Ovis aries: one gene and its partners. The protein of the gene in region 1 interacts with the protein of each later gene in a pairwise test. Links are inferred from orthologs where the notes say so. Each region holds a gene or a part of one and is shown in the gene's direction. Other genes may lie near its edges.

Region 1 (4,918 bases):
GGAGTGGAAGAAGTGATATACAATGAAATACATTTTTTGATTGGGTGCTCTTTCGTCTTCTGCCTTGGTTCTCTATTAAGTCTAATAATGCTGGGAGTAGAATGAGCTCTGATGTTAGAGAACACTGAGTTTACTGATCACTTTCAGAGAAGAGACGATAGTGCTTTTCCTCTGGCTGCACCAGTTCTCAGCTCCTTTAGGAACAGAGCCCACTACCCTGAAGTGGGCAACAAGAAAGAGAAACTCATTTTAGCTGTTCTTTTTCAAAGGTATCTTCCAACCTCTCCTCCAAAACTGACTCAGACAGCTACGCTGAAGTGAATGATGTGATCACCCAAATATCCTCCAAAGTGCAGATACAAGATATTACTACGGAATTACACTGCCCATTGTGTAATGACTGGTTTTGTGATCCACTAATGCTAAGCTGTGGCCACAACTTCTGCCAATCTTGTATCCAAAAGTTTTGGAAGCAGCAAGCAAATGAAACATTCTGTCCTGAGTGTAAGATGTTATGTCAATACAGCAACTGTACTTTTAATCTTGTACTGGAGAAGCTGGTAGAGAAGATTAAGAAGCTACCCCTGCTCAAGGGCCATCCACGGTGCCCAGAGCATGGAGAGAACCTGAAACTGTTCAGTAAGCCAGATGGGAGACTAATATGCTTTCAATGCAAAGATGCTCGATTGTCTGTAGGGCAGTCTAAAGAATTCCTGCAGATCTCTGATGCTGTCCGTTTCTTCACGGTGGGTGAGCCCTGGGTCTTGAACAGTCTTGAGCAATTCCTTAGGAAGGCTGGGAAAAACTGTTGGACTTCTTCTTTCAATACCACCCCTCATTCAAGTGATTATTAGAAAGCTCAGAGTGCTCAAAAAATACAACGTATCTTGCAAAGTTCTTTCTCTGTAGTTGTCAATTATAGGGAAGCAGTAAAGGAGCTCTGGCCTACTTCCTCAATCAATCAAACATTTACCTGAACCTTGCCTTGACAGCATTCTACTAGGCACTGTACAGAACATGGACATGTAAAATAATGCTTTTGTTACTGAAGTCTTGAAATGCAGTCAAGTTTAAAGTGAACAAAACAACAGAAGGGATATAAGACAGTCTACTGTTGAGAGCTAAATTTTTGTCACATTTGTTTCAGAGATTAGAGAAAACTGAAATAGTCAGGGGAGGCATGGTGAAAGAAAGCTTGAAGGGGGGGCAATTATTTGAATTTGGATGGGTAGAAGGAAGAAACGAGTGTTCTGAGAACAATGTAAGTAAAAGTAGAGATAGCAAGAACAGTGTAAATATAGTAGAAAGTGTACAGAGTTCTGTTATCTTCCTCAAAGCCCTGTAGTTAGCTAAGAAGAAGATAAAACTTAGTTTTTCTGCAGTTTGTAATTTTCTTCACAATTTTTGGAAGAGACAGGAATTATCATATAAGGGAAAAGGAAACTTTTGTAGTGGGAGCTTGCTTTCTTTCCCCCTGACACCCTGGGGCTTTGGGGTAGATGTTCTTCATGGCCCTTCATCTCCCAATTAGCATGGGTTAATTCTTTATGGTATCCCCAGGAGGAGCTTACCATCCATCAGGGTCAACTGGAGGCAGCCCGGAAGGAGCTTCTGTCCCTGAAGAATATGCAGAAGGATGCTATCGCTGCTCACAAGGTGAGGAGCAGGGTAGAGGGGTCATGAGACAGAACTGGACTTGTACCCTCCTTGTAACTTCAGCTATGTGGGTGGAAAGGTACCTTTACATATACAACAACATGCTAAATGGCATCTGGCCTTAGAAGTAGAAAACAGACACTGTAGAGTGGAAAGAAATACGGCAGTGGAGTAGGTTCCCAATAGCTGATCAACAGAGAGAGCAGACTGACCTTTCCCCTAGATAAGCTGATCCTTTTCATGGTGCAGTCCCTAGGTGATTGCTCTGGGGCTGTGATCTGTCTGATCTTTCCTATTATCTATCGTAAAATAAGGAATTCATTTTTAAAAAATCCACTAAAGATTGTGATGTTCAAAGAAATAACTTTCTTTCCTTTGGGCTTAAAACCAGGCCTCTCTGAACCAAGGTCTCTTAGACTGCTGGCTTTTCTCTGTGATCTAATCCTTCTTAGCTTCTCCCAAACTAAATAAAACTACTGCTTATACTTTCAACTTCACAGGAGCTCTAGGGCAACATTAATGGTTAGGGACTTGGCAAATCAGTTCCTAGGCTGGGGGAATAATTTGGGAGTTCTGTTTCTTCATTAATTATCCTACAGAGGAGAGTCTTCTCTGGCATTTGGCATCTGGAAGAAGAAACAAATATAATGAGGGAAAGAAGAAGGCTAGATGGAAATAAAGATGTCTCAAGAGAATCGTGTTCCTGTTGTAAGAGTTCTTAGTTCAGCTATTACAGTCAACACTCATTCATTCAACAAATATTTGAGTGGTGCAGCATTATGCTAGATATTGTATTCCAACTATGGTGGGAGACAGATGTTAATTAAATAATCCCACCAATAATGAAACATCACTGTGATAATTACTATAAATGATTATATACAGTATATTAGAGTATATAAATGGAGAGCCTAATCTAGACTGAAGAGGTCACTTATTAAAAATTGAAATTAAAAATTCTTATTAAAAATTGAGAATTGAAAGGATAAGTATTATCTTTAGCCAAGTGAACTGGGTGAGGGGAATATGAAGGAAATGGCCTGTAGAATGTTCTATGAAGAGGAAAGAGCGTTATAGAAAAGTTCTTGAGACAGGAAGCTAGTTACTATGTTAAACAGAAAGAAGGCCAATTAAGATGGATCTTGGTAGGCGAGTTGAGACCAAAAAGGCAGATAAGGCCCAATCATGTAGGCCCTTGTAGATAATGTCATGAATTTTGAATTTTATTCTGTGCATAATTGAGAAGTCATTAAAGGGTTTAAACAGGACGGTCTCATCTCATTTTGAAAGCATCAGTCTGGTGGCTGTGTGGAGTGTGGACTGGAGAAAGGCAATAAGAAGGATAACGGTTAGAAGAAGACTACTGAGGTGGTCCCAGAGAACGATGATGGCTTGGACTAAAATGGCAGTAGAGACCGAAAGAAATAAACGGCTTTAACATATGCTTTGGAAAGAAAAACTGCCTGCATGTGGTGACCGATTAGATGTGAGAGGCGAGTGGTGATATCAAATGGACAACCGGATGTATGGACCTGGAGTTGAGAAGCTGGTCTAGGCTGAAAATAAGAGGTCAGCGTACAGACTGCACTTCAAAGTTGTGAGAGCAGAGGCTATTACCGAGAACGAGAGTGTAGAATGAGAAAGGGAAAGAGCCTAGGACAGAGTATCAAGTAATTTAATATTCAAAGCTTGGTTAGAGACACAACTAACAAATGAGACTGAGAAATAGCGGTGAAATAGGTAACAGGAAAAATGGAAATGTCTGACCTAGAGGACAGTGAGAGTTAAGACTATTTTAAAGAGTACAATTACAGTGCTTGACCACAGACTATAAGCTGGATAAGAGGGGACATGAAGACAGAGAAGCTGAAGAACAGAAACGGAGGGTCAATGAATAGGAGGATTCTATGAAATCCAATAACTGCTGCAACAGTGGAACCTGGGTAAGCAAACATAAAAAGTAATTCTGGGGATGGTACAATTGCCGAGGAAGATAAAACCCTCAATGTGACTAAAAGAATGAGTAGATATAGGTAAAAATCACTAGAAATGATGATGAGGAACTGAGAAGCCAGGATGCCAGATGGCTTGCCCATGAGGAAGCTGAAGTCACCTAGGGAAAGAGCTGCCAGTGTAACGGTTACCGATTTCAAGTGCTGCAGACACCACCCATCTCTGGCTTCTTTTGTATTGTCCTGGCAGCAGGAATGGTGCCTCCTCCGTTCTGATTTCTTGAAAAAGGGCAGTTCTTCCAGCCTCCTCTGGACCCAGTCTAACAGCATCCCTTGGTAGATACTGGTTTGTACTTGTGGATAAAAGGGTATTATTGTTCATTTAAAAGTGTTCGATTAACCCCACAGTCTTATTTAAGATGGCATTGGTTACCACCTCAGTTTTGCAACAGGAACCTAGACATGACTTTTGACTATTCCAACCCTAACTATTAAACTAGCTGGGAAAGACAGAGTAAGTTTCCCAAAGGCCTCCTTTTAGTACAGTTGGATGTTGATATGCAGTGTTTGCATGCGTTTTCCTGTTATGGTATTTCCCAAGTTGTGGGAGTGCTGGTGGTGTGGGCCCCCATCCCTAAATGCTAGTCTCAGTAATTACCATGGTGATGATCATGGAGGTTTCCAGGAAAACAAGCTACATCTGCAGCAACACATCTCCCTGGAGTTTCTAAAGCTGCATCAGTTCCTGCACAGCAAAGAAAAGGACCTTTTAAGTGAGCTCCGAGAAGAGGGGAAAGCCTTGAATGAGGAGATGGAGCTGAATCTGAGCCACATTCAGGAACAGTGTCTCCTAGCCAAGGAGATGTTGGTGAGCATCCAGGGACGGATGGAGCAGCAGAACCCCTTCGACTTTCTCAAAGTGAGACTCCACACCGACATGACTATGGGTACAACAGAGGGGGGAAGAGAGGGTTGGAAAGAATGTACAAGCAGATTTTCCCTTCCAGGAGGGTAAAAAATTCTGCTGTAGTGATTTTAAGATTCCCTGGGAGAAAAGCAGAAGGTTCCTTTTGCCTTAGACTCAATTGAAAGTTTTCATACGCCTAGTAAAGAAGATAGTAAGATGCCATTAAAAGCAATGTTTTAATATTTCCCCATAAAGAACTCTGAAGCTTTATTTCTCAAAAATAATGTTGCCACCTAAACTGTATCTTTTACTGGCTCTCAGTAATCGTAAATTGACCTGTTTGAAAAGCTGTTTGCCAATCTTTGCTACCTGACGCTTCACCTCTAAAGTGGCATTGGTTACT
Region 2 (5,201 bases), on another chromosome or scaffold:
ATCACTGTCTCACTTAACATATGGTAAAAAGAGTTAACTGTTTGGTAGCTTGAAACTTTACATTCAATTAAACTGTACATTACTATACACTAAGGCTGGCAAAAAATGAAATAAATACAATTATGATACACAATACTTAGAACACACATCATGTACATAAGGCTCATTTGACATTTATCTGATAAAAGTGTAAAAAGTTAGTTTTACCTCCTAAATACTCAGATTCCCACCCTCTAAACTAACACCAGAATTAAATAACTTGAAGTTACCCAGGCAGAGCTATCTATCAGTGCCCAATTTCTGGTAAATGAACACATTTCTGTCTGTTTCACATTGGCCTAATTACTCACTCTATTGCATTAAAGTTCTAACTTTTTAACTAAGCTTTAAAACCAGGATGAAACAAATTCATGGTTAGGATCATAGGGTTCAATCTGAAAAGCTCTAAAACGATATACCACAATAACTACAAGGCACTGAGAGAATCAGATTATAAATCCAGTCAACTTTTCCAAGGCCTGTGATGTTTAAATTCCAGTCTTTTGAAAATAATAATAAAGAGAGAGGGTAAGTGCTGGGCAAGAATAAATCCCCACATCCACATTTCGTTCATTTTCTGAGCAGGCAATGTATCCAAATTCAAAGCTGTAAAGTCAATTTGTCAGCATCTACTAATCCCATCGCACCTGGCGGGAGAGGAAGGCGGGAAGGAAAAAACTCGTCCCGCGTCCTTCACGGAGCAATGCCCCAACACACCTGCCTAGCTTATTCTGTCAGGGGCAGGGGAATTTAAAAAGAACAAATCAGCCAGACAAACCTGATGATCCAGAGAGCTCAGAGGAAGTCCCCCAGCACTTGCGCAAGGCTCCGGCTCGCTGGGCGCTGGCGCGACGCGGCAGCCCGGCGGCTCTCCTGGAAGGTGCCCACACCTGAGCGCCCGCAGCTCCGCGGGGGGAGGGCCCGGCGGGGCAGGACCGCTAAGTGGTCCAGCCGCGCGGTCCGGAGCGCAGCCCGCGCCTCACCGTCGCCACCCGACGGCAGGCGGCGCGCGAAGAGGCGAGGGGCACCAGAGAGCGAAAGGGAAGGACCTGCGACTAACAGGAGGTTACATGTCAACAAAATAGCGGCCCGGCGGGCAGGCGGCCCCACTGGCAGTTCGCGGAGACGCCGGGAGCAGGAAGTGCCCCGCGCGCCCCTCAGGAGCCCGCACGTCCCCAGACCCGGCAGCGACTCCGAGACACCTGTTTGGCGGCGCCAGGGGTGGGGTTCCACCCTCCACGCTCCCCCCACATTCCCTCTCCCAGAGGGAAGGGCGAGGGGACCCGAGACCTTGGACCCACAGCCTGAGGGCGCCTCCGCCGGCCGTACCTGACATCAGCCTCGGCTCCCTCTCGCCCCTCCAGGGGGGCGGAGAGGGCGACGACACGAGACCGGCGACCTTCGCTCTGCTCGGCAGCCGCAGAAGTGGCTCGTGGCTGCTGGCCGGGGCCGCCCGCTGCCGCCCAGATTATTCCCCGGCAGCGGCGGCGGCGGCGGCCGAGGCGGGCCCAGCGCGCGCTCCCGCCCGCTCGCTCCGCCCCTCCCCGCAGCGCGTTCCGGCCGCGGGCCGCCGACGGCGCAGCCGCCACCCAGGGGTCTCCTAGCGCTGACGTCATCGCCGCCGCACCAGCCCCAGGGAAGGGCGGAGCGAGAGGGGGCAGGGTGGGGCGGGGCTACGGCGACGTGCGGGCGCGGGGATTGGCGGCCGAGCGCACGCCCCGCCCTTGTGCGAAGGGGTCTGGGAAGTCGGATCTTCTATGAGGGGTAGTCACAGCCCGCTTGCGGCACCTCGGTGGCGGCCTCCACCTTCCTCGCGTTGCTGAAGGGTCTTGCACTAGCTTCCGGACCTTGAGAGGGCCCAAAGCAGTGAAACATCAGGGACCAGGGCTGCAAATACCCTTGGGACCTTTGTCCAAGAGACAGGCTCTTCCCTTTCAGGAGTCTTATGGCCTCTAGCCTGCTTTTAAACTGTTCTTTTTACCCCTGTTATCCCCTCCTCCCGACTCTCAACTCAGTACCTCTCTGGCCTTAAGGAGAGGAAACACGCAAGATGAGGTACGCAAACGAGTGTTGGATAACCAGGTATGTGAATGAGCAGGGGCTGAGAACCCAATTAATGCTACCACAAAGCCTCCTGAAGGCACACATGGTCTTTGGTTCTGTGATAACTTCTCCACTGCCAGGCAGTGGCCCGAAGTTTCTTCGGAGCTCTCCAAAACCTCACCGTCTCACCTTTAGTTGGCAAAGTTGTATCAGAAAACTGTTTTGGGATTAGAGAGCGAGGAGCCCTCGAGCGATTGAGGCAGTCCCACAGCAGTCAGGAGGTGGGATCAAGTCTGACTTTACTGGTGGTATCTAACAAAGCCTAGTTTGAGGGTGAGAAAACTACCCTGCTTCCTAGGCAGTTCTTAAGTGCCTTGGCCTCTGGGCTGGAATCTTGATTCCCGCCACCTATTAGCTGTGTAACCTTGGCAAGTTGGTTACCACGCTGGAGAGGAATAATAAACAATGTAACTAAAGTATTGTTGTTGTTTCCTTTTATGTGTCTAGATTCAGCTTTAGTGTAGTTTACCAGGATATATCATTAATAAATCCGAAAGAATCTTTGGGAAGAACTTTAAAACATCTAGATTCTTATCCAAACCTGTCATTTTTTCAGATGAGAAAACTGAGGTCAGAAAGATAAACTGAGAAGCCTGTTTTGGAAGAGAAGTGCAAGTATGTGATATCCAGGTTAGTGCTCTGTTGGATCCTCACCTCCATCTGTTCTCTCTCCCCCAACCTGTATATAATTATTGATCAGCCTCACCCTCTTTGTCTTCCACAGCCACTGTGAGACAGGGAAAAGAGACCCTTCGAGGTCAAAGTGTACCAAATAGAAAGCAAAATAAAACAAAATGCTTCAGGATTCTTATTTTAATTTTATTAAAATTTATAAGGAATAAGAAATAATCTTTTTCCAGTGAGCAAATACAGGAAACCCTTCCAAGGGTAAGCTCAGCTACAGCATGTCTAAGATAATTTTCTTAGTGGCATAGAGGTATGTTGATAGAACTACCACGTCAAATCAGGCCCCTCCTACCCTTCTAGGTATTATTGGAAATAGCTATTATTTTCATGAAAGCAATGTACACTTATTGAAACAAATATAAAAAATTTCCAAATGTCATAATTCAGAGAGAACAATTTTTTAAAATTCATGTTATGTTCCAGACGTCTCTAAGAATAAAAACATATAAAGGTATAGAAATACAATGTATGATAAACTGGATTTTATCATGTACACAGTTCTTTTTTCATGAACAATATATCGTGAATAACATCATTTTTAAAAGTTGCCTAGTGTGAAGTGGACGTACCATTGTTTATCTAACCGGTATTCTATTGGCTCATTTCTGTTTTTTTCCCCAAATGCTTACTGTTTTAAACAACTCTGTGATGAGTTTCTTAATGCATGTACCGTTGCACAACTGTACCGCTGTCTTCTTGAATAAATTCCTTGAAGTGACATTAATGTCAGCCAATTTTTCTTCATTATTAACTAGAAAAAAAGAAAGCTGTGGTTACTTTGAAAAATATGATTTATATGTGAGATGCAAAATGACCAGATTTTCCCATTTGAAACACAGATTAACCTTGAACAGTGTGTTTGTCTCTCTGGAGTGTGTTTCAGGAATGTGTGTCCAAGCGCCTTGGAGCAAAGTGATAGACACTGATAGCTGATTAAACCAAAATCCCTTCTCTATTACTTGGAGAACTCTTGACTTTTTTTCGGGGCGACTGTGTCCAGTTAAAAATACTTGTTTACTCAGGCTCCTATAAGCCATGGTTTCCCATGTGACCTATCAATAGAATGAAAGTAGATGTTACTCATAGAGGCTCAAAGTTTTATGGAAGAAACTTTCTGTTAGCCATTGGACCTATACCTGTCCTTTATCTTACCTGGAACAGTGATATGATGCTAGATGTGGAGCAGCCCTGTTTCAACCACAGTAACAAAATAGTAGCATAGCCAAAGGGACTGGCTTGTGATTGCTTTGAAGGGTCAGCTTATCAGCCCTGGTCTGCTCACTTCTGGGTTTATTGTTATATAAAGGGGTTTGTTGTTATATGAAGGAAAATAAATCCATTTTCTTTAAGGTTTTTGTTGTTTTTTGTTATAAGCACTGAATAAAATTCCTAATTGGCATAAAAAGATAGGAAAAATCATGATTTATTTAGTGCTCTAGGTAGAATTTTTTAATAAACAGGGTAAGATGAAAATGGGAACAAAAAATGGAAACAAGCAACAGCAAAAAACGACTCTCTAATAAACTTAGTTTTCCTTTAAATATCCAAATATTACAATTAGATTAACAACTCTTTAGTAATAATTAGGTTAAATTCTATAAATTATATTTATATAATAATGTATAGATTAAATGGACTTCCTTGGTGGCTCAGACGGTAAAAGCATCTGCCTACAATGTGGGAGACCTGGATTCGATCCCTAGGTCGGGAAGATCCTCTGGAGAAGGAAATGGCACCCCACTCCTGTACTTTTGCCTGGAAAGTCCCATGGACGGAGGATCGTGGTAGGCTACAGTCCATGGGGTCGCGGAGAGTTGGACATGATTGAGCAACTAAACTTCTAAAACTATAAATTATTTAGAATTTAATATAAATTGAATTTATAAATTAAATTAAAACTACTGGTATAGTAGTTTTAAAATATGTTCACAAGTTCTTTGATACTTCTTTCAAAAATTGAGCTTAATTCCCCTCACCTAGAATTTGGACTGAACTTAGTGACTTGTTCTCATAAAGAGAATGTAGAAACGTTGTGATGTGACTTCTAAGTGGAGACTATATATGTGCCAGCTTTCTGCTTGCTCTCTCTGGGATTGCTCACTGGGGAAAGGTAATTGTCATGTCGTAAGGACACTCAGCAACTTAGAGAGAGGCCCATGTTGTGAATAACTAAGGCCAACAGTCAGTGAGGAACTGAGAGCTCCTGAAAACAGCCACGTGAGTGAATTTGGGAGCAGATCCTTCAGCCTAGCCAAGCCTTCAGATAACTGCATCCCTTGTCAGTATCTTTGTTGTACCTGAAGAGAGTCCATGAGCCAGAATCACTCAGTTTAGCCACTCCCAAATTCAAGTCTGCAGGAACTGTAAAATAA
Region 3 (4,913 bases), on another chromosome or scaffold:
CTGGTGTGCTGCGGTTCATGGGGTCGCAAAGAGTCAGGCACAACTGAGCAACTGAACTGAACTGAACTGAAATATGTGCATTGTGCTCAGTCCTGTCTGACTCTTTGCAGTACCATGAACTATAGCCCTCCAGGCTCCTCTGCCCATGGAATTTTCCAGGCAAGAATACTAGAGTATTCTTTCTCCTTCTCCAGGAGACCTTCCTGACCCAGGGATCAAACCTGTGTCTCCTGCATTGGCAGGCAGATTTTTTTACCACTAGGGCCACCTGGGAAGTCCATTACGTAAATATAGTACATGTGATATTACCATTATGTATTTAATGCATATTTGTGTTGTACATAGTGCTTTGAAACATACTTTTGAAAAATTCAATCTTTCTTAGTGCTAAATATATTTTAATCATATCATTTTTAATGACTGTATAATATTCCTCAGCAAAAAGTGAGGATATTTAAAGGTACTTATCAGAGGGTTATGCCATGAGCAGTGATGAGAGTTTTGTCATGCAAAGCTTCTGGTATATATAAAAACCTCAATAAATTCAGTTCTTCCGCAGGATGGATTTATATAACCAATTTCCTTTCACTGAGCACTTAAGTTATTTTCATTATTTTGCCATGATAAAGAACGCAGGGCATATTAATCTTCGCTCACATCCTTAGTAAATTTCGGGACTGCTGGGCATGCCCATCTTCACACTAACTTGCTCAGCATTGAGCAGTTAGAGGAACAGACAGGAAAACTGGCTTGCACTGGTTCACATAGCCTGTCAGCTGAAGTCAGGACTGCTGCTGCTGCTGCTAAGTCGCTTCAGTCGTGTCCGACTCTGTGCGACCCCAGAGACGGCGGCCCATCAGGCTCCCCCGTCCCTGGGATTCTCCAGGCAAGAACGCTGGAGTGGGTTGCCATTTCCTTCTCCAATGCATGAAAGTGAAAAGTGAAAGTGAAGTCGCTCAGTCGTGTCCGACTCTTAGCGACCCCTTGGGCCCACCAGGGTCCTCCGTCCATCAGCTAAGTCCCGGGTGAACAAGAGAAAGAATTAGCCGCTTGAGCTAAAGGGGCTGCTCAAAGAACCTGAGACCACCGGGAAGCTGAAGGGCGGGGAGGGACTGAGAAGGCAGGGCGCTCCCACGCCAGGCCGAAGCTAAGCCGTTGCCTGGCAATGCGGGCGGCGCGGAGTTCGAACGGAAGCGAGAAACCAATCAGGATGTCCGGGGCAAACCATTCTGGTGTCGGGGAGGGGGGTGAAGCGACGCGCTCATTTCCCCTTCCCCCGGTGCCCCGGGGTTTTCGCTTCCCCTCTGTGCCCCCAGACCTTCGCTCTGTCTGGGACCTTGGGACAGTCAGGTTCTCCGGCTTATCTCGGGTGCGGAGCACAGCTCCGAAGAGGCCCCCGCGGGTCCTCACGTGGGGCTTGGGCCTCCCGAGCCGTGTTGGGTGCGGCCATTCCCCGCCTGACTGGGTCCGAGCTGTCAGCCTCCTCAAGACCCACACTGGAGGAGCGGGACTCGCCTAGGCGAGGCTCCTTGTGAGGGCACGGGTGGTCCGGGGCGCGAACCCGGGTGTAAGGGGGCGCTGTATTCACCCCTGCGGTGCGTGTTCTCTCCGAGTCCTACGAGGGTACCCCATTTCACAGATGAGAACGCTGAGGCTCAGAAAGACGAAGTCTGGCAGAGAATCTGATTCAGATCTTTCTGCTCCATCTCGCAGTCTCTAGCATAATAGTTCTAGATTTGCCTTGAGAGACCCTGACAGGTAACTGGTGGTCGCTTTCTTAGCCTCTGATCAACAGGAGCATGAGAGCCCTGGCTGCATCCGCTCCAGGCTGCCTCTCCCCAGCGTCGGCCTGGGGTCTTCTCCCCACCATCTGTCTTCATTTCTCCAGAAAGCCAGGGGTGGACTTGGGGCTCACTTGAGATCCTTCAGCTTGCAGGGCTCTGAATTACAGAGCTCTCCCTCTCAGAGAGAAGATACGGGTGGCTCAGGCAGGACTGACATTTCTGAGCTAGGTGCCAGGTGGGGAGCAGATGCTTTGGCCCTGGAATTGCTGTAGGACTCTTGGGAATCTACTGCGGGTTGGGCAAAAGGGTAGGCACAGCCCTCAGCCAAAGACGCTAGTCACCAGAGACACTGGACTTGGTCCTGGGCCCAGGACCGCTCCTGGTAGAGCATCTGACCTACACCAGGCCTTACCTCCTGGGGAACCCCCTCCCCACCTGCTGGTTGCTATGGGTTTCCTTTCGTAGGTGGGCAAACTGAGGTTCTAAAAAGTTAAGCCCCTTTGCCCAAAACCACATGGTCAGACTTGGCAACTCTGGGGCTGGTTCCCAATCTGTCTGGCTTCCATCTTAGAATCCTAGACACTCAGAATTGTAGCATCTGGGAGTCTAGAATCTCTTCAAGGGGAATTATTTATCCTCTCTCCTCCAAACCAGTCTCCTGGCTTTAAAGGGAGCAGAGCTCTGGAAATTCAGAAAGAAAACAAGTCTTCATTCTTTCAACAAATATTTACTCACTTCATATGCTCTGCCTTGTCTATTTTGTTTTTCTCAGTAGCATTTACCCCATCCAATGTCCTATAATTTCACTTATTAGCGAGTTTATTATCTTCCCGGACTGGAATGTGTTGCAGGGAAGGGTTAGGGTGAGGTAAATGAGGTAATCGCCTCCAGTGTGAAACTGAGGGGTGCCCAAAGCCCTAGGAATCAAAATGACTAATGCTAACATTTATTGATCATTTTTGTGTGTTCTGCTGGTGGGAGATCAACTCCCTGGATCACAGTCCCTCATCTCTGTCACAATTACACATGCACCCCCTGACCTAGCTGTCCCACTTCTGGGCAGAATGATATAGGTGCAGTGAGCCCACAGTGTGGGGTTTTTGGGTTTTTTAAGGCTCTGCCTGAGAACTCTTTTATTTATTTGTTTATTTTTGGCTGGGCTGGGTGTTCGTTGCTGCCTGGGCTTTCTCTAGTTGCAGGCTTATCATTGTGGTGGCTTTTCTTGCTGTGGATCATGGGCTCTAGAACTTGGAGGCTTCTTTTGTTGTGGCCTAGTTGCTCCATGGCACGTGGGATCTTCTACCAGGGGTAGAAGCCATGTCCCCTGCATTGGCAGGCAGATTCTTAACCACTGGCCCACCAGGGAAGTCCCACAGTGTGGTTTTTAATAGAGACTAGACACACGCTCAGTGGCCATTGGTAGGGACTGATGGGCTCTTTATGTAGTACAACATATATTATTTTGTTAATAACATTATAATTAATAACATGCTAATAACATATTAAGAACATATATTATTCAATGAAAGAATAAATGAAAACAATGCACAGAACATGTTGCTATGTGTAAAAAAAATAGAATATATGTCCATTGTTGCTTGTATGTGCCTGAAATCTCCCTGGAAGGACATATAACCATCTGATCATAATGATTCTTGCAGGGAGGGGAACTGGGTGGCTGGGGATAGGAGTGGAGGGAGGTGTTTTTCTTTTTTTAATTTCCTTTACAGCTTATGAATCTTAAGCCATGCACATGTATCACCTGGTTGAAAAAATATGTGTGTATTATAGATTGTTTATCTAATCATGAGACCACTGCCCTGTCTATGATCTGTCATTAACTTTCTTGTGACTTTGGACAAGGTTCTTGACATCTCTGCGCCGAGAAAAGAAGCCATGATGGTGCGCTTCGGCCCAGGCAGAGGGCAGTCCGGGACAGGAAGTGGGCTTGGTTGTGGGTCTGTCCCAACTCCACCTTCCGCATCCTGTGTGCCAGGCCCTTCCCTAAGGCTTTGCGCGCAGTATCTCTCTTAGTCTGCACTGCGAGTCCCTTTGTCCTCATTTGGCAAGCTCAGGTGCAGACCTGAGGCCCAGAGGACTGAGTTGGTGGAGGTGTGCAGTTGGTGGGCCAAACGGGAGATTGCTGCCTTAGGCAGCTGCACCCACACCGCTTCTGTGGCCTGTTTACCTTTCTCTTCCTGAGGTTTGTGCAAGGTTGCCCTGGGCAAGGCTGACTGCAGGCAGGCCAGGGCACGAACATCTGGGAAAACTCCAGAAATAGTGTGGGGCCTGGCGTGGGCCTGGAGGATGCCCAGCTGGGTGTCTCTGGCCCTGGCAGCTGTCCTGGAGTCTTCTGCTGCCTGGAGCCTTCCTGGCTCCCTCTGGGGCAGGAGAGGGCCTCTCTGTCTCCACCGAAGTCTGGGCTGGACTTCTGCTAAGGAAAAGGAGAAGCAGGTGGAAGGGAGGGGTGAGGTGGAAGTGCACAATGTCATAAAAATGATAAACATCAGAAACCACACCTCCTGCCCCCTCAGCAAAGAATAGAAATCACTGACACCTCTTGATCCCTTACTGTGTGCTAAGTAATTTACAAGTGTGAACTCCTTCAATTCTGTCAATTCTATGACGTAAGGTAGTTACTGCTGTTATTTCCTCCTTATGAAGGGAAACTGAGCACAAGAGATGTTTAATATCTTGCACCTAGAGCTGGATTGGAATCCCAGGTGTCTGGCTTCAGACTAAACCTTCTTATTCTTTTTTTTTTTTAATGTATGTATTAATAAAATGCAGTTTACCATTTTAATCATTTTTAAGTGTACAGTCTAGTCGCATTACGTTCATTACAGTGTTGTGCAACCATTGCTAATGGAAACTCCATACCCAGTGAATAGTAACTCCTTGCTCTCTTCACTCTCCCACCCCGGCAGTCACTGTTCTTCTTTCTGCCTCTATGAATCCAACTACTTGAGGAACCTCATATAAGTGGAATCAGGCAGTATTTGTTCTTTTGTGACTGGCTTATTTCACTTAGCATGATGACTTCAAGATTCATCTGTGTTGTATAGCATGTGTCAGAATTTCCTTCCTTTTTAAGGCTAAATGACATTCCACTATGTGTATACACCGTAC
Region 4 (5,037 bases), on another chromosome or scaffold:
CCACTCTTGATCACCAGTCATGAAATGAGACATGAGCACACAGTAGAATGGAAATTCAGGCAAAGTAACCATGTCACTACACTACACACTGTCTAGGTCAGCTGACTTTTTTTTTTGTAGCAGAGTTTCTCAAGGAAGGGAGAGTGTGTAGATTAGATTCTGGTGCAGGCTCCCTCAATTGCACTGTCCCAGGTCACACTGAGTTTGTTGAGACAGTAGAAGCTATGTCCTCCGTGGGGTCTTGTCCTGTCTCAGATGGAATAAGGGACCAGGCATACTTGTCTATTATAGCACTTATTGCACTGTATTGTAATGGTCTTTTTGTAAATGTAACATTTATTTAGTGTCTATTTTTTAAGTATAAAAATACATGTGCTGTGCCGAGTGCTCAGTTGTATCTGACTCTTTGCGACTCCATAGACTGTAGCCCTCCAGGCTCCACTGTCCATGGGATTTTTCAGGCAAGGATGATGGCGTGGATTACCATTCCCTTCTCCAGAGGATCTTCCCAATCCAGGGATCAAACCTGCATCTGCTGCATTGCAAGCAGATTTATTACCTGCTGAGCCATTGCAGAAGCCCCCATAAAAATATATAGTACCTGCTAGCGATTCATGGGGTTGCAAAGAGCTGGACACGACTGAGCAATTGAACCATGAAAAAGAATGACGTTCTGATCCGTATTAAAACATGGATGAATCTTGAAGGCTTTCGGCTAAGTGAAACAAGCCATTCACAAGAAGACAAATACTGTATGAGTCCACTTACAGAAGGTTCCTAGGACAGTCAGAATCATAACGTAGGAAGTGGGTTTGAGGTAACCAGGGCCTGTGGGAAGAGAAAGTGGGGAATTACTGCTTCACGGTTAGAGGGTTCCTGATTGGGATGATTAAGCAGTTTTTGGAAGAGTGGTGGTGGGTTTACAACACTGTGAATGTACTTACTGTCATTGAACTAGAGCCTTAAAAAGAGCTAGGATAGTACATTTTATATTATTATATCTTATCACAATAAAAAAGTAGAAATAGTAAAAAATAGTACATGCTGGTTGAAAAGAATTCAAATTATATATATATATATATATATATATATATATATATGGCAAAATGTGCACGAGAGGCCTGAGATAGCCAATCCTTTGCCCAGTCTCTAAAACCACAGGAAAACATCCCAGATTTGGGAACCGCTCAAAACGGAAATGGAGGTTGGTTCAAAGGGGCCAACACTAAGTGACTCCTGGCATCAGGCCAGTCGAAGACACATTGCTCTCAGAGAAAATCTACAGGAGAAAGATGAAATACCTTCCACCATGGCTGGCAAGGTCTAGTGCTTTAAAGTATATCCTCAAATCCTGGCAATGATTGTCTAAGAATACATTGATTGAGCACAGAGTTTACAAAAGTGCACTCACCCATGCATTGCCAGACCCACAACACACCCTGATGCACACAGCTGCGATCTTTGCTCCTTGGCAAAGTCCTCGTGGAGTCAGCAGGTTCACTGTCCCTTCCTCAAGCAAACCCCTCCCTCTCTTCACTCATCTCCCAGCGTTCCCCACACCTGTCCCTGTTTGTTTAAACCCCAGCCTGGGAAGTATGGACACCCTTCAGGATCAGTCTCACCACCATGCTTCTTCTGACTCCAGTCTTGGTAGCCATCGTCTGCATTTTGATGGTGTGGATCTTTAAAAATGCTGATGGGAGCAGTGACAGAAAGAAGGGGGAGCCTAGGGCTGAGGCTCATCCCTGGGTAGATAAAGACTTGAAAGACAGCACCGATGTCCACCAGGAGGAAGCAGGTAAAGACACTGGCTCTGCCACTTGGTTCCCATCTTCTGTATTTTTACGATGAGGGCAAGTGGCTGGTGGGGCTTATGGAGAGAAATAAGTGCAGGCAGGTCAGTTTTATCATCAACTTCTATTGTGCAAACAAATTAGTGTGTGACGGAGACATCATTTCTCTTGGGTGTCAGCTTGTCGTTTGCTGTGACCAAGTAAAAAGCTGGATCATCAGTAAAAAACACTGTTGAAGGGCTGGCTTTCCCCAGCTCCTGTCCTGACTGGCTGCTAAAATCTTTCTGCAGGGGGCACATCACAGGCTGGTGTGGCCATGAGATAAGCAGTCAGGTTTTGATCAAAAATTTGAAATAAAAAAAAGGGCAGCTGTGTAAGTGCTCACTACTACTCATTATAGCAGCCCTGTGGGTTACAGACAAGAGTGGCTGTGGTCCTCAAAGCTGAGTGTCTGATTCAGTAGACAAGGCAATGAATGGACAACTGAAAGAGAGTAAAAAAGAGACAGGTGGAACTGATGATAAGGTGTTTGGAGAAGGCTCAGGATCTTGGCAAGGCATTACAGAAGGGCTGAACCAGGCCAGGTGGATTACTAGAATATGAATAGTAAGGGTGAGAAGGTTAAGGGGAACAGAAGGAGCCTGAATACAGAACTGCTAGGAAAGATGCTGAGAAGACGGAAGGACTATGCTGACCAGGGAAGGGGCGAAAATGAAGTTGGATGTTGAGGATGGGCGGGGGCATGGTTGACCCAAGGAAGACAAGATGATGAAGGAGGCAGGCAGGCAGGGAGAGGTTTTGGGGAGCTCTGAGTGATCTGTGTTTGGGGTGGGTCTGAGGAGGTTCTGTGGGCTGGATTTGACTTGGAAGAGGCTCAGTGACTCTCAGCTGGGGTAGTAATGGCACCAGCTCAGTTCAATTGCTCAGTCGTGTCCGATTCTTTGCGACCCCATGGACTGCAGCATGTCAGGCCTCCCTGTTCATCACCTACTCCAGGAGTTTACTCACACTCATGTCCCTTGAGTTGGTGATGCCATCCAACCATCTCATCATCTGTTGTCCCCTTCTCCTCCCACCTTCAATCTTTCCCAGCATCAGGGTCTTTTCAAATGAGTCAGTTCTTCACATCAGGTAGCCAAGGTATTGGAATTTCAGCTTCAACATCAGTCCTTCCAGTGAATATTCAGGACTGATTTCCTTTAGGATGGACTGGTTGGCTCTCCTTGCTGTCCAAGGGACACTCAAGAGTCTTCTCCAACACCACAGTTCAAAACAATCAATTCTTTGGTGTACAGCTTTCTTTATAATCAACTCTCACATCAATACATGACTACTGTAAAAACCAAAGCTTTGACTAGATGGACCTTTGTTGGCAGAGTAATGTCTCTGCTTTTTAATACGCTGTCTAGATTGGTCATAACTTTTCTTCCAAGGAGCAGACATCTTTTAATTTCATGGCTGCAGTCATTATCTGCAGTGATTTTGCAGTCCCCTCTCAAAAAAAATAAATAAATAAATAAATAAAGCTCCACCCTCCCTTCAAAAGAGGCCACCTGGAAGTATATGTGTGCATATGTGTATAAGTGTGTGTGTGTGTTTTGAGTTGTCCTAACCTTAGGATTCGGGAGTGGGGTACAAAGCTGGCAATCCATGCTGGAAGCCATGTAGCACTGGCTATACCATGTACACTGAGTATACCACACAGGGTCCAAGCCCAGGCAGCCTCCTAGCAGGGCTATCTCTCACTCTCCTCCCTGGATGCCAACTATGCCAGCTGAGAAGCACTTTCCTGAATGAGGGGAGATCCACTTTGAAGCTGGGTAAGGATCTGCTCCGGTAACAATGGGCAGGGTGGTGGGGATAGCGTGATGCAAGAGAAGAGGTGGATCCAAGGGACAGTCAAGGAAGAACAATGGGCTCTGGCAATAAGTTAGCTGCTGGGAGAGGAAGAGGAGGGCAATGATTTAGAGGCTGGAAGAATCAGAACAACACTGTCATAAGCAGGTGAGGGGAGGGGACCCGGTTTAAAGGGGAAGCTGTTGAGTGTAATGCAGGGTGTGTTGGGCTTGAAGGAACAGTGGGACATTGAAGCAGAAAGATAGGCAGGTTTCTAGGTGAGAGATCTAGGCCACAGACACTGATTGGAGAGTCACTAGCTTAAGGTGATGCTTGGAAGTTGAGGAAAAAATGAATTCACTAGAGGGTATTGCTAAAGAGAAGGCTGAGGAGAGAACCTGGTGAGGAGCACATTCAGATGAGAGGAACTGCCTGGGAGGAATGGACTTGGAAGAAAAGGTGTAGGGAAGAAGGGCCAGGTTAGTAACAAGCCCTTCCAGGTATTTTCTATATCCAAGGTCATTTTTACATAGGGTGACTCATAACAATACAGGGAGCAGGCACTATTATCATCCCTAGATTACAGATAAGGAAGCTGAGCTCAGATCATCTAAATCATCTGTCCAAGCAGCTAGTGGTGGAGCCAGGACCCAGCGGGGGCTGGCTCCAGAGTCCCAGGTCTACAAAGAAGGCTTTTCCAGGCTTTTCCAAAGAATGATCCAGAACAGAGCAGGCAGGAGATGGCCCACAGAGTTAAACGTTTCCTGAGAGATCAGAAGTAGTGTGTGCATTGAGAAAAACCCACTGGCTTTGAAGACCCAAGGGTTGAAGGGATACAGAGGGATCAATGTGGCTGGTGGGGAACCAGGGACCTGGGACCAGGGACCTGCGCCTGATGGTTGGGACCAGATACCAGAGCTGTGCGGCCCCGTTCTGCTTCTCTGCCTGTTGATTCACTTCTCATTCTCTATTCTTTACAAGGAGGAATAAAGTGAACATGTAGCACCTGCCTCAGCAACCACGAGCAAATTTTCCCCAAGTGTAGACTTCACAGTCTCTTGTTGGGATTTTTCTTGTCTACATAAGAGATACTTACTGAGGTCACACGGGCACACAGGTGATAAGCAGGGCTAATGTTTAAACTCCATCTCCTCTGGCACTCAAGTCCCTGCTCTTAACCACTGGGTGGGTGGACACAGTCTAAGAGAGGATACCCTGCCAGTACTGAGGCTCCGATGCAGGTATAATTGGAGAGGAGAAGGCTACCATTGCTTGCCTGGAGAATCCCAGGGACGGGGGAGCCTGGTGAGCTGCTGTCTATGGGGTCGCACAGAGTCAGACACGACTGAAGTGACTTAGCAGCAGCAGCAGCAGACAAGGAAACATGAGATGGCTTTGCTAACAGCGA
Region 5 (5,049 bases), on another chromosome or scaffold:
GGAGGTGCTGTGAGTGGGAAGAAATATCAGAAGCCTTGAGGCGCCAAGAGGTTTGGTTGTTTGCTCTGTTTCCCCTGCTGACTCCAAGGTTACACATTAAGCCCTCTGGGGCTCCTTGGTCAACCCAGGCCTGATCGGTTTCTAGGTGAGAGCATGGAGTGTCCCGGCTGAGCGGTTTTCCCCCTTGCGCTCCCCTTTGCTCTCAGGGCAGCTTTGTCCGCCAGCCACACCGGCCTGAGCCAGACGGGGATTTCGGGGTGGGGGGGAGGGGGCTGCGTCATGAGGGGCCCTTCTAGTGGTCATCCCGCGTGGATAAGTTTGGGCACCCTTTCAAGGAGCAGAGTAGGAGCTGAAGATAAACACCCCTTTTCTCACATTCCTCGCCTACTCAGAAATAGGGACGCTGTCCCTTAGCTCATCACCATCCTTCCTGCTTCCTTAACTGAGCTTTTATGGAGCTATGGAGCTCGTGAAGAGCTGGAGGCGCCATGGAGAGACCTGAAATTGAACACACTTCTGATCAAGACCTTAAACAATTGTACTAACCAGCCCCCTACCTCTGGGCAGAACCCTTGAACTCCTATCAGCCGAACGACTATCTTTCTCCCTCTCCCCGATTCTTTCAGGTAGCAGTCCACTTCCCTCCCATCTTCTCCCAAGGAGGTCCTCTCTAGTTGAGTGTTGAAGTCAGATTACTCTGCTGCAGCGGCAAGTGTTGTATGTGTGCTCTGGGAAATTGAGAGTGTTGACGAACGCAGAGCTCACCAGTCGGGACAGTCCGGAAACCGTCTTGCGTCCTCCCTAGGTGAATCAACTTATACAGCTCAGGGTTTCCCGGGGCCCTCCCTTGGCAAACACGAAACTAGCCTTGCACCCTGCCCACAGACCGAGAGCGCTGACTCGGTTCAGTTTTGGTAGTTGATCGTTTGCGTGCTAATGAGAATCTGCCCTGTACTTCGAAAACAGAGTGATTAGTGGGCAAAGCGGAGAAGGCAATGGTACCCCACTCCAGTACTCTTGCCTGGAAAATCACATGGACGGAGGAGCCTTGTAGGCTGCAGTCCATGGGGTCGCTGAGTTGGACATGGCTGAGCGACTTCACTTTCACTTTTCACTTTCAGGCATCGGAGAAGGAAATGGCAACCCACTCCAATGTTCTTGCCTGGAGAATCCCAGGGACGGGGGAGCCTGGTGGGCTGCCGTCTATGGGGTCGCACAGAGTCGGACAAGACTGAAGCGACTTAGCAGCAGCAGCAGCAGTGGGCAAAGACTGGGGCAGAAAGAGATCCGTCCTTTCTTCCCACCCTCTCTTGGCCTGCGCGGGGAAACCCTCCGGTCTAAGGAAGAACTGCAAGGGCAGGATGCGGCCACGTGTGTAGGCAGCGGCTGGTACAGTGCTGACCTTTGCGGGGCGTGCCAAGAAATGGCATATCGCCCTATTCTTTGGACCCTAGAAGGCCAACTGCGGATCCGGACTGCAGGAAGTGCCCAAATGAGCAGAGACAAATAACAGGCTGAACCAACACCTAGCTCCACTAGCTCCGCCCCGTAATTATCTTGAATGGCAGTGGGCGTGGTTCTAGAGAGGGCGGGTCCGCGCACGCGCTGCCTTTGGGTTTGGGGGTTCCGGAATTGTGACTCTGAGAAATGAGATGGAGAAGTACGAGCGGATCCGAGTGGTGGGCAGAGGTGCCTTCGGGTGAGCCAGGGCTCTGGGGGAGGAAAGTGCTTGGGGAGAGGGAAAATCAGCCCCCTAATTCTGACCTCAAAATCGCAGCCCGTGTAGCCCCGCCCCGAGGCGTGAGTGCCCACTCCGGGAAGCCCCTCCCGGCTTCCGGTTCTAGTCCTGGTTGGGAAACTCCGCCTCCAAGGAGGTCACGCCCCCGGCCGGCCTTCGCGGCCCCCGCAGAGTTTGTTCTTTTATCCTGACTCATTCATTCAACAAATGCTGAGCGGCTGCTATACTCGTCAGGCTTTTGGTGCTGGGTATATAGTAAAGACCCAAACAGGCGTGGTCTTGTCCCTCTTGGAGCTTACATGCTACCGGAAAAATATCCTATAAACAGAACATTGTTAAAGCAGTGATTAACAAACTGTGAGAATAGAGCACAACACGAGGGAGTGTTCATTTGGGATGGTTAAGGAAAAGTTCTCTGAGAGGTGAAATTGAAAATCAAAACTTGAGGAATGAGGATCGATACGTAGTGAAAAAAGCAAAGCTTCTCAGGCGAAGGAAACAGCTTTTGCTAACGTCCTCACGTGGGAAAGAATTCAGAGTATTCAAGGAACTGAGAAGACTAATGTCATTGGAATGTAATGGGCAAGGTAAATAATGGAATAAAATGTGATTGTCACAGAGGGCGGGAACCAGATTATGGCCTTGTGTGTGTGCGCATGCATGCTAAGTCACTTTAGTTGTGTTCCACCCTGGCGACCCCATGGACTGTGGCCCTCCAGGCTCCTCTGTTCATGGATTCTCCAGGCAAGAATACTGGAGTAGGTTGCCATGCCTTCCTTCAGGGGATCTTCCAGACCCAGGGATCCAACCCCCGAAGCTAACTCCTGCATCTCCTGAGTTGCAGGCAGATTCTTTACTGCTGAGCCACCTGGGAAGTCCCTATGGCCTTGTAGGCAGAAGTAAAGAAGTTGAATTTATTTACTTAGGGTGTCAAGGAAAAGAGATTTAAGCAAAGGAATGGTCTTGATTTGATTTGCATTTTTACAATGTCACTGACTCTGCTAGTGGAATTTAGATTTGAGGTGACAACAGTGAAAAGGACCATTTGAAGTCTAGTGTAGTATTTTAGGCAAGAAATGATGATTTGGTCAAGGATTATAGCAGAAGACAGAGAAAAATGGATGAGTTCACAATATTTTGGAGGTAGTAGAAACAGCATTTACAGATATGTTACTGTGAAATGGAAGAAAAATTCTGGCATGATTTTCGGGTGTCTGACTTTAATAACTAGTGGATGGTGTTACCATTTATTGAGACAGGAGGAACTGAGGAAGGAAAGGTTTTGAGGTCAGGGATCAAGAGTTTTGTATTTGTTACATTTTAGAATGCTTGTGGGCCATTCAGGTAGAGATACAAAACAGATAGTTGAATATGTAAGTCTGAGGCTCAGAGATGTCTGAGCTGGGGATAGACATTTGATACTTAGACAATCCTTGATTCAGCAGATACTTGTAGAGCTCTTACTAAGTGCTGGGGTGTGCACTAGGCTATGCACTGGGGCTATAGTGGTGAAGGAGAAAGAACAAAACCCTGCTTTTATGAACACTGACTACAGAGTTGGGAGAAAATAATATAATGAATGGCTCCTGCTCACTGAGTATTTTTGATGTGCCAGGCGGTGTGCTAAGTGCAGAACTTGCATTTTCTTACTTGACCCTCTCAACTACCTTGTGAGATCGACCCTATTTTTTCCAGAACCTGATGTCACATAATTTAAGACCAGATAACTTGTAAGAGGAGGAGCCAAGATTTGAACCCAGGCAGTTAACTCCAGAGTCTGTGGGGACTTACTGAGACCAAGACTAACTTTACCTCATTGAGACTATGGTGAAACCGAGTCCCAGATAAGTTAAAAGACTTGCCAAAGGTCTCGCACAGTTTGTGGTCTGTTCTCCCTACTCCTCACTCGTGTTCTGTGCACTTACTTAGATGACTTCTTAGTGTAGGTGCTGATTCCCCCATCCTAAGAAACATCCCGTCGCCAGCCTGACCTGCTTGATATGTGGCTGGAGACTCAGTCCCTACTCCTGTACTCCGTGTCCTCAGGATTGTTCATCTGTGCTTGCGCAAAGCTGACCAGAAGCTGGTGATCATCAAGCAGATCCCCGTGGAGCAGATGACCAAGGAGGAGCGGCAGGCAGCCCAGAACGAATGCCAGGTGCTCAAGCTGCTCAACCATCCCAACGTCATTGAGTACTACGAGAACTTCCTGGAGGACAAGGCCCTCATGATCGCCATGGAGTACGCACCAGGTGGGACAGCCTTCTTGCATTGGCCTGAGGGCCTCTCGCCACTGGGACAACCCCGCTTCCCTCTCTGGAGTGGGCGTGGCTGAGGGTCCAAGGTATATAGAGTTCTGACCCCAGGGGTGTGACACCGGCAGACCTTCTTTGCCCTGTCTGAGCCTTTAGTTTCATAAAAGGAAAGACTCAAGCACAGAGAAGCCTAGGTCTTGATGAGTTCCCTGTGGCTGCAGGCGGCACCCTGGCCGAGTTCATCCAGAAGCGCTGTAACTCTCTGCTGGAGGAGGAGACCATCCTGCACTTCTTTGTGCAGATCCTGCTGGCACTGCATCACGTCCACAGCCACCTCATCCTGCACCGGGACCTTAAAACCCAAAACATCCTTCTCGATAAACACCGCATGGTCGTCAAGATCGGCGACTTTGGCATCTCCAAGATCCTTAGCAGCAAGAGCAAGGCCTACACGGTGCCTGGTGCAGAGGGACCCTCAAGGGTGCTGGGGGTTTTGGGGGGCCAGATCTACTTGGCATCTCTGTCTCCATCCCTGCATCCCCAAGATCTTGGCCCCTGGGTCCCTGGCTGGGTGGTCCCGCAGGAGGAAACACTTTGGCCTGCTTTGGAGGGACGCTGTCTCTAAGTGGTCTTTGGGGCTGGATCCTTGGTCCTCCCACCCCAGCTGTAATAGCAGCCCCCTCCTGCAGGTGGTGGGTACTCCCTGCTACATTTCCCCTGAACTGTGTGAGGGCAAGCCCTACAACCAGAAGAGTGACATCTGGGCCCTGGGCTGTGTCCTCTATGAGCTGGCCAGCCTCAAGAGGGCCTTCGAGGCTGCGGTGAGTAAGTCCCCTGAAGGGGAACAGCTGGGAAATCCCTCCCTCTGTCTCCTGAAGTCCGTGGCCCCAAGCACCATTATGTCTCTCTCTCCAGGCTGGTAGACTACCCCAGGCTTGGGCTGTACCTCCCCTCACACTGTGGGTTCCTGAGGGTAGGGCGTGTGTCCTCCCTTAAACTGGAGACTCCTGGGGGTAGGACTCTCCCATCAGATTAGGGAATCTCCTAAGGGCAGGA

The links.
Region 2: the proteins of E3 ubiquitin-protein ligase TRIM69 (region 1) and ASNS interact in binary tests that used the Homo sapiens proteins (3 or more experiments, as listed by UniProt). The two-hybrid records come from large-scale screens. The link is inferred for Ovis aries from reciprocal best matches to the Homo sapiens genes TRIM69 and ASNS.
Region 3: the proteins of E3 ubiquitin-protein ligase TRIM69 (region 1) and FAM110A interact in binary tests that used the Homo sapiens proteins (3 or more experiments, as listed by UniProt). The two-hybrid records come from large-scale screens. The link is inferred for Ovis aries from reciprocal best matches to the Homo sapiens genes TRIM69 and FAM110A.
Region 4: the proteins of E3 ubiquitin-protein ligase TRIM69 (region 1) and IYD interact in binary tests that used the Homo sapiens proteins (3 or more experiments, as listed by UniProt). The two-hybrid records come from large-scale screens. The link is inferred for Ovis aries from reciprocal best matches to the Homo sapiens genes TRIM69 and IYD.
Region 5: the proteins of E3 ubiquitin-protein ligase TRIM69 (region 1) and NEK8 interact in binary tests that used the Homo sapiens proteins (3 or more experiments, as listed by UniProt). The two-hybrid records come from large-scale screens. The link is inferred for Ovis aries from reciprocal best matches to the Homo sapiens genes TRIM69 and NEK8.

Annotation. Positions count from the first base shown.
Region 1 is NC_056060.1:101,155,766-101,160,683, forward strand, and holds the start of E3 ubiquitin-protein ligase TRIM69, read left to right. Parts: upstream 1-1,683; 5' UTR 1,684-4,158; coding exon 4,159-4,527; intron 4,528-4,918. Other genes in the region: E3 ubiquitin-protein ligase TRIM69-like, read left to right, coding at 224-750, 1,532-1,683.
Region 2 is NC_056057.1:16,016,924-16,022,124, reverse strand, and holds the start of ASNS (asparagine synthetase [glutamine-hydrolyzing]), read left to right. Parts: upstream 1-1,765; 5' UTR 1,766-2,121; intron 2,122-2,698; 5' UTR 2,699-2,772; intron 2,773-5,201. Other genes in the region: C1GALT1 (glycoprotein-N-acetylgalactosamine 3-beta-galactosyltransferase 1), read right to left, coding at 1,369-1,375.
Region 3 is NC_056066.1:59,932,889-59,937,801, reverse strand, and holds the start of FAM110A (protein FAM110A), read left to right. Parts: upstream 1-1,477; 5' UTR 1,478-4,913.
Region 4 is NC_056061.1:75,315,636-75,320,672, forward strand, and holds the start of IYD (iodotyrosine deiodinase 1), read left to right. Parts: upstream 1-1,601; 5' UTR 1,602-1,626; coding exon 1,627-1,798; intron 1,799-5,037. UniProt on the Homo sapiens protein: Catalyzes the dehalogenation of halotyrosines such as 3-bromo-L-tyrosine, 3-chloro-L-tyrosine, 3-iodo-L-tyrosine and 3,5-diiodo-L-tyrosine.
Region 5 is NC_056064.1:20,098,319-20,103,367, forward strand, and holds the start of NEK8 (serine/threonine-protein kinase Nek8), read left to right. Parts: upstream 1-1,613; 5' UTR 1,614-1,652; coding exon 1,653-1,699; exon of another isoform or gene 1,700-2,325; intron 2,326-3,784; coding exon 3,785-3,990; intron 3,991-4,214; coding exon 4,215-4,447; intron 4,448-4,682; coding exon 4,683-4,814; intron 4,815-5,049. UniProt on the Homo sapiens protein: Required for renal tubular integrity. May regulate local cytoskeletal structure in kidney tubule epithelial cells. May regulate ciliary biogenesis through targeting of proteins to the cilia.